Coturnix japonica: one gene and its partner. The protein of the gene in region 1 purifies or fractionates together with the protein of each later gene. This does not show direct contact. Links are inferred from orthologs where the notes say so. Each region holds a gene or a part of one and is shown on either strand. Other genes may lie near its edges.

What was found.
Region 2: the proteins of MYO1E (region 1) and OSTF1 purify together in Homo sapiens (co-immunoprecipitation; 3 studies listed by BioGRID and IntAct, counting the BioPlex papers as one, with this or other methods). This does not show direct contact. The link is inferred for Coturnix japonica from reciprocal best matches to the Homo sapiens genes MYO1E and OSTF1.

The regions. Positions count from the first base shown.
Region 1 is NC_029525.1:5,793,357-5,797,259, reverse strand, and holds part of MYO1E (unconventional myosin-Ie), read right to left. Parts: intron 3,426-3,903; coding exon 3,340-3,425; intron 2,761-3,339; coding exon 2,679-2,760; intron 1,540-2,678; coding exon 1,433-1,539; intron 1-1,432. UniProt on the Homo sapiens protein: Actin-based motor molecule with ATPase activity. Unconventional myosins serve in intracellular movements. Their highly divergent tails bind to membranous compartments, which are then moved relative to actin filaments.
Region 2 is NC_029547.1:33,132,398-33,136,893, forward strand, and holds the start of OSTF1 (osteoclast-stimulating factor 1), read left to right. Parts: upstream 1-1,475; 5' UTR 1,476-1,638; coding exon 1,639-1,672; intron 1,673-1,967; exon of another isoform or gene 1,968-2,059; intron 2,060-2,064; coding exon of another isoform or gene 2,065-2,075; exon of another isoform or gene 2,076-2,156; intron 2,157-4,496. Other genes in the region: NMRK1 (nicotinamide riboside kinase 1), read right to left, coding at 249-308, 2,065-2,075.

The sequences.
Region 1 (3,903 bases):
AAGTACAAAATTAAACAAGCTGAAGTTTGAGTTGAAATGTGCATATGCTTACATCTCTTTTCCTTGGATATGCCACTATTTGACGTATAATATTTGAGAAATTGCTTGAATAGGGACAGAGTGTTAGTATTTTCAAGTGGGGATTAAAAGTTACCATTATCGTAAGAACTGATTCCATTTTAGTTGAGTTTGATAACACACAATCCTTGTATTTAATTATTTTAGCATCAGTAGCTGCCGTTCTTACCAAATATCACCCCCATTATGTGGGGAAAAAACTGAAATCTTGCCTATTTTTACTCCAGAATCGGCTTCCTGAAAGCCGCCCTTTCGTCGGACTGGGTTTTTGTTTGTTTGTTTCACTGGTTTCCTAGCAACAATTTCCACAATAAAAGGCCTATTTTCCAATATGTAAATGATTGATTTTAACAGCCCTCCAATGTACACGTTTTTTACTCCACTACAAGTTTTAGGCATACTTTCACTTGAGTAACTTTTCTCCCAGTGTTAAAGTGGAATTAAGTGGTGCACAGCAGAATTTTAAGGGGTGGGAAGGGAAGGAAAACTTAAGAGAAAGGATCTACATTTACTGCCAAGACCTAAATGACACTTTCAAGGGGCAGCCATGATTGTGGCTTCTGTAAATGCTCTACATCTGCATGTAATTGTGCTGGTCTGTGTGCCAAATGGCAGGAAGTGAATTTTGGTGTGCTGTTGATGTGGTCAAGAATGTTCTTTATCAGACTTCACAAATTGTTTCACTGTGATTAAAAAAAGAACTCCACACTGCAAACATCAGCACTTTTACCACTACAAAAAGTACTTATGTATGATTAAAAATGTTTAGTAACGTACCCTACCTCAGTGTGAAATAGAAGAGCATCTCTTTTTAAACTAAAAAATAATACTAAAAAGTACCATATGCTTAAAGATGCCTTAAAGCAAATGCAATCAACCAAAGACTTAGACATGAATCCAGTGTCTGTATAATCACCTGAGATCAGTCTATCAATTTCTCTTTGAAGAGATAGATAACAGAACTTGAAATTCAGTAAGTAAAAAACAATAGCAAAAACTATATTATGTCATTTTATATAATATGCATATATATATGCTATATATATAATATATGTGTCATGTTTTCTCTTTTTTTTGTGTGTGTGTGATTTTTTTTGTTCATTTCATGAAAGTAAATTCAGACACCCTGCTGGATTTCTGCTACCCAATAAAAGCTGTTTTCAAAAGCATGAAGCAAAAGTCAGGATTAATTTAGAATTATTTAGATTTAGGAGAGATAATTTCTGAAGGCTTTTAGACTATCCAGTTCTATTTGTCTGTGGGTTATATGATTAAAAAACATGATTTTTTTTAGCTTTGTTTTTTTCCTTGGACTCAGTGCTCGTTCCTATCACACACTCTTGCTTATTCATACCTGCTCTCCTCCCAGTCTCGAGGTTTCTTGGTCTCATTGGGTTTGATGCAGCGGATGTAGTGTGGTGTGCACTTCATGAGGGTGCCAACAAGATCATTTGCTTGTTTCTGTAAAATTAAAGGAAAACATTATAGAAACAGAGGTGAACAAAGTAAATCCTCTGAGAGAGTTCTCAGGGTATCAGCCCTGTGCTGATGATCCACGTGGCTTGGGTTCTTCTCCAGAAAGGCCGAAGTGTCCTGGGACAGTATGTAGCAGTAACAGAGCTGAGCTTTTAGCATATGAAGGCTATCAACAGACAGTCACTTATTTCTGTGTAAGGTACGAGGGAGGAATTAAAAAAAAAAAACAACAACTCAGTCAATAGCAAAAGTATGCAAAAGTAAGGAAATCATTCCTTTTATTATTTTTATACTACTGGATAGTTTTCTCCTGTTCCACTAATCATTTTCCCCTATCATGTTATTCTTTCTATTTAAAACTAACGCACACTGGTCTCTATGAACATGTTTGTAAAAGATGGATAAACACATCCAATGAAAAGTCATCACCTTCCACCAGTCTCTCAGGAAAATATTAGCATTAAATAGAAGTCCCCATTATCTCCAGCTATGTAATACAATATATTTTATCTACTATACAAAAATACAGAGTGGTGAGTATGGGGAATGCGTCCAGTGGTTTAAACTGTAAGGCTGAAATATGAAGAAAGATGCTGAAAAAATACTGTTTGCAAAGTCTTCAAGTACACATAAATGTATGTTTTACAGCCAGCCTCAAAAAAAAAACCACACACACACACAAAATCGATGCTTGCCTTCTAACACTCACTGCCTTATCCAGCCCACGTTATGGTCAATAGAAAGACTTCTGTTGACTTCAGTGGGTGTAGGATCAGGCCCTGCTGCATTTCTGCACTATAAAGAGCCCAGTTATCTGTAGTTAATTGTAGGACATCAAGTGGCCGAGTGAAGGGGCTCATTCATCACGCACATGCAAAGACTATCACCACTGCCATCAATTGCTCATTTTGAAAATTCTGCACCATAAAATGCAGCTGAACAAAAGGTTTAATGAGCAGCAATGCTGGGCAGAACACGATTCTAACAACTGAAACAACGCAATGCTTTGCAAACACAGCACTGCTAAGTCTGGATAATAAAAACAAAGACTAACTTTCTTTTTAGTTGAGGTATCGTTGCACAAACTGCCACATTCATATATGCATATACAAGAACAGCCATACCTTGATTTTACTGCCAGCGGTGGTGGGACGACCCTTCTTGTCTACTTGAAGATTTTCAGGAAACAGAGCCTTTATAAAAGGCCTAGAAAAGAATTGGTACAGAAAGACAATTCAGTGCAGAAATGGAGAAGAATATGATGTAAAAGCTGATAGGCGAGCAGAATATAAATAGCTTTTTATATTAATCCAGAGTGCTATCAAATCTATTTTAAGATCAGTATTTTCCATGAGCCTCATTCCTCACAGAGATCTCTATATTAGTGAGCTCTGGAAGACATGAGACACCAGTCTTCCAGACTCAAAGCGCTTCCTAAAAAGCCTCAATTAAAATACATAGCAGAAAAAATGTTACTTTATACATTCAAAGAGTGCCTATTTTATAATAATGCTGCATTAGTGACAGCTTTCTTCAAGGCAAAAAAATATTGATCTTATATATGATACCATTTGAGTCTGACATTTCAGCACCCTACTTACTCCGATTGGCAGGAAATGAAGACCAAGTGTAACAGAAGCTATACCGTTTTACTGTAGTGATGGTTCATTTCCATTTTTATGCGAATTAGCTCACAAGATGTGAAGTAGTAGAGATGTTAGGCCCTCTGCATCCATCTAAACTAGCACACATTATTCCTAGCTTAAGCAAATTTTGCTTACGTACAAATCACTGCTCTGCATGAGTTCAATCAAGTCCATGAAAAGAACATCCCGATTTCTCTCGCAGAATCCATCCATATCATAAGATACCTGGGCCAAGGTGGAAATTGATTGTTTGTGGTAAGTTGAGAACCCAATAATTACAGAAAAAAATATATCCTGTCCTCAACAGTAGCTGCTCTGAAATTTTGGCTAGTCTGATACTATTTAAAGACAGTATAGCGATGAGTAAATCCTTGCATGTATTACTTGACTCTTTCACAACAAAGGAATTACATCCATAGACTTAAGCTAAACAAAAAAGGACCTACAAACAAGTCAGTAGAATGCAATACAAGTGAATTTAATGCTGAAATTTATAGAAGAAAAATATTTTGCATAACGATGTACTGTTATTAAATATAATAGCAGGAAACAATGAGTAGAATGAGACATACATCCAAATTAAGACAGAACACTTCTAATTTGACTGGTATATCATCACTGAAGGATCATTTTAAAATGCCTGGATGCTTAAAACTTACTGCTGTTATGCAAGGGGGCTTTTAAAGCACCATTTTATTATATT
Region 2 (4,496 bases), on another chromosome or scaffold:
CTCTCCTCACCTCCAAGAGGTTTATTAACACAAAACACACTCTTGAATTTTTCTGGCAAGTTCTAACAGATTTTAGAAAGTAAATCTAACAGCGACAAGAAAGAAATTAGAAGTGGTACCTAAGATCTCCAATAGAGAAAGGAATAATTTCCTAGGAGTTACATGTTTACAAAAAGTCCATAATATGCTGTATTTGTAAGCTATTTTCAAAAATGATCCATTCAGGCGTATAATTTTTTCATGCTTACCCTCCAAGGCCAATCACCAGTATTTTCATTGCTTGTTTTCTCTTCAGTTCTTCCTTTACACTGTCAAAAACAGAGTCAGAGAAAACTCTCAAATCAGAAAAAATAACAGCACTTATTAAGACATTCCAGCCTTATGTAGTATTATATACTTGTTTTCTGTCTTTTTTTCCCCCATAAGCCTACTGTCAGAACCACAACTGCTTGTTCAAATGCTAACAAAACCCTCCAACACAGATGCCGCATTACAGATTTCTATGCGTTTTACCTAGGTCAGTATTTGATGACTTGAGACAGACCTTGAGAGATTCAATTCTACCACTGCTGATAAGCACAGAAGTACCCGGATAAAAAACACAACCCCAGCTCAATCATTAACAGTATCCAAATGTCTGGGTAAACAGGTGCTGAGGTGGAAAGACAAACAAACAAAAAGCCAATTAAAATAAAAAACAAATACCAGTGTTGTGCTGAGGGAAGAAAAATGTTTCAAAAATCCAGTAACTCCCAAATTCCACCATTCACTGTATGTTTATGGCATTGGCTGTCTGTGTGGAGCCAGAAAACAGACTACCTGCTCTCAGGATATGATGAAACATGATCTGCAAAAACCCCACTGCTGTTTTCCAACCAAGCTGTCACTGAGGTTTGTGTTCTGGGGGATTAGCCTTTGTCCCACAAAAACTCTGCAGCACAACCCAAATAACATCTGGGCGCACACACTGAGCTTTGGACTCAACTTACGTCACTGGCTATACAAAACTTTATCCCAACCAACCCACCAACTCTGCCTCCCTCAGAACACAACGTAGAACCCAAACTGCGAGGGCAAACTGGCCTCCAGCGTTGCAGCACACAACTCCAAAGTTAACTCGGCCTCTTTAAAGGGCCGAGTGAAGTTCCACGACAGTTCCCTCACAGAGCTGCCTCGGGCTGAGCATTAAACGTGCGACGACAGCATCCAAACGAGCCACCCGCCCCAGGAGCTCCCACACGGGAGGAGCGGACCCGCGGGACCCACACACCCAAACAAAGCCCACCCCCTACCGCCACTAGCCGTGCTCCGGCTGCCCAGCCGTCACCCGCCCTGCGGTGCCAGCTCCGCCCCCTCCGACACAGCGCGGTCCGATTGGCCGCCCTCCCTTCCCCGTGATCTTCCCACCGAGGAAAGGAGAGAGAGGCGAGGATTGGCTGTAGGGTGTTTCGGGCTGCTGCAGCGATTGCCGCTGCCGCTGTGGGGCGCTGCGCAGGGTACCGGCGGCCGCCCGTCCGCCCCCTCCCTTCCTACCCGCAGCTGTCGCCGCGCACCGTGCCCAGCAGCCCGGAGCGGCTCGCCCCGCTCTGCCCCACCGCCCCGAGGCACTTGCGCAGCTCGTCTGGTCCCGCCGCAGCCATGTCCAAGCCACCGCCCAAGCCCGCCAAGCCAGGTAAGGGAGGGTCCCCAAGACTAGTCCCCCCCTCCACCTTCCCCTCTTCTCCCTGTCAGCGCGGGGCCACCGTGGGCGCGGGCGGCCTTTGCTGGCTGACACGTGGACAGCGGGAGAGCGGGGCTCGGGCTGTCAGAACCGGCGGCCCCCGCCTCTCCCCGCCCCGCCGCCATTAACGTCGGCGCCGCCCGAGCGCTGCGGCGCGGGCTGCGGGTCTGTCCTCGGGCACACCGCAAGGATCTTCGTTTCTCAAAACTCATAGCGAATCGCAGGGTCTTGTAAAAACACTGCTGACCGGGTTTAGGAGCACTCAGTGCGTCATCATCCACCTTCTGCTGATCTGTTAAAGCCTCAGAACTTCTTCCAAGTAACAGTTTCCTCTGGTATCTCACCCACTGAGCATCTTTCAGAGTTGACCTGAAATAGGAAAAAGGCAACGATAGGAGCCCCGACGCTGCAGTTGCCCTCTGGGAAGGTGAATGAAGTGCTGTGTGGGCTTCCGGGAGATGAGAAGGGTGTGGTGCTGCTTTTAGCAGCCAGATATGCGGGAAGAAGCTTTTTTTTCCAGTCCTCCGATTTGCAAAATGATTGGTTAGGTTTAGGGTAAGAATCTTGCAAATTTCAAGGATTTATACTGTTCAGCCTTGCGGAGTTATCAGGCAGGCTAGATGTTCTATGCCTAATGTTGGGCATCCCCAGCCTGGGCAGGCTGTGGTAAGATGCAGGTTGCTGCCAGACAGACAGGCTCGCTGTGCCCTCCCTGTCACTTTGTCCTTCAGTGAGGTGGCACGGCAGTCTGCTGGTGCTCTGGCACTGCAGGGTTCTGCTCATGTTCAGGTTATTTTCATGTTTTAATGAACTTGCTGATCTGGTTTACCACATGATCACTTGACACAGCAAAAGGAAATGGGTGGAAATAAATGGCTGAAGAAGAAAGAGGAAGAGGATAAGACTTTCTTAGTAGTTGCTCATAGGGGTCACGAAAGTCATTTTGTGGAGTCCCTTTTTTGAAGAAGGAATGTCTTTACAGATGCTATTGTGGAATATTTTTTTTCCCAAGTCATTTTCAGGAAGAGGCAGCCTTCAGACTTCCTCCAAAATATTTTGTCCGTCTGCCCTTATAAAACCAGTTATGCTTTTAACACTGAATTTCATTCGGGTTGTAGACATTAAAGCGTACTGAGTTAAAGACATAAACGTGGAGTCTGTGTGTGCTGAAACTAGAGTAGCACAATGCTCTATTTGTTACTAACTTATATGCTTCACGTGGGGAAACGTCTTCTTGGTTCATTTGCTGAAGTTATGTTATTTTTTCTACACTGACTGTTGTCTGGTATTCAGTCTGTAAACCGTCCTGGCTTTTTCACAAAGCAGCAATCTGCTTGCCATGCCGCAATTCAAGCAGGTAGAAGGAAAAATAAGACTTTGGCTGCTGTAGTCCTTTAAGAAATGTTCGGGAAGAAAACGTACAAACTACATGGAGATGGAAGGAGATAGAGTTGATGGCAGGGAACTGTGTTTAGTGTTATATTCATTTCTGAAACAACGAGCGCATTCCTCACTCTACTGGTGAAGATTACAGTTACATATGAATGCCCAGACAGTGCCTTGAAAATGTGCAAAACAGGATGTGCTAAGGGAAAAATGTTAAGTATAGCAGTGAATGGGGTTTTCTTCAGTACATGCAGGATTTTTATTTGATAGAAGGCTCTTTCATTGTAATAATCTGGCTGCGTGGGCAGTGCATTGTGCTTCATCTATGAAGGAGAAGGCTTAGATATCAATAGATTCTAGAAAATCATCTAATAATGTTTGTCAGCTCTCAAGCCTGTATTCTGGGGCCTGTAGTTAGCCCTTGAGTAAGAAGGCTGTGAGTGTTTTTCATGGCTTTGGGAAATTTTTAATTTCTAGTGTTCCAAGACTTTCCTTTGAAACAAGCTTCTCAATTTGCTTTTCTGCAAGAGCTTTTTGTACTGGTTTGAAAGCTTTTTCTTCTTTCCCTATTCAAACTTGCCATTGGTGATATGGAAGAGTGAAGTGAGAACTGAAAATAATTGAAGCTTTCTTCTAAATCAGCATAATGCAAGAGTAGGATTTCCCCTCCATCCTTCAAAAGCTCTATTGATATCTCAAACAACATCGTTCTTTTTAGAGTTCATTAACCTCCTAAACATTCTGTGTCTTATGTTAATTCTAATTACAAAAGTTACTCAAGTCTTTTGAACCTGACAAGCTGCATTGACTCCTGTTAGTTGTCTCCTTGAATAATGGTGGTTATGCATTTTTGGCTAAGGCCTTATAAAGTGTGCAGTAAGAGCTCTTAGGAATCTGGAAATTCTCTTTTTTAAGAAAACAAAAAAAAAAAAAAACTTTGTTACTTTAATGTTCTCCAGATAAAGTAAGGTTTGTTGATCTCGGGCTAAGGTCCACAAAACAGCCAAGTTTTAGAGAGAAGGACCAGTCTTTGAAAGAAATTACAGTTTTAAATGATCCCAGTTGAGAGGAAGTGAGGAAGGAGGAAATAGAGTATGTAGCATAAAGGGACGCTACCTTAAAGTACGTCTGTTGCCTTTGCAGTTTTCTAAGTTAAGAGAAAAATTCTCAGTATAAATATTTAGTTAGAACCACAGTCAAGTTCCTTGCACATTGCTGAGGTAAAGCAGAAGCTGTGGCAGTTGCCATTCGTAGGAGCAGAAGATCTATGCTGAATGGCATCTCTATGGTCTCAGCAGTCCATCACCCTGGGTTGTCACCTTTGTATAGCCACAGAAGGGTTTCTGTTAGCTAGGGAGAAGTGGATTTGTGAGTCTGGGGAGTCATGCTG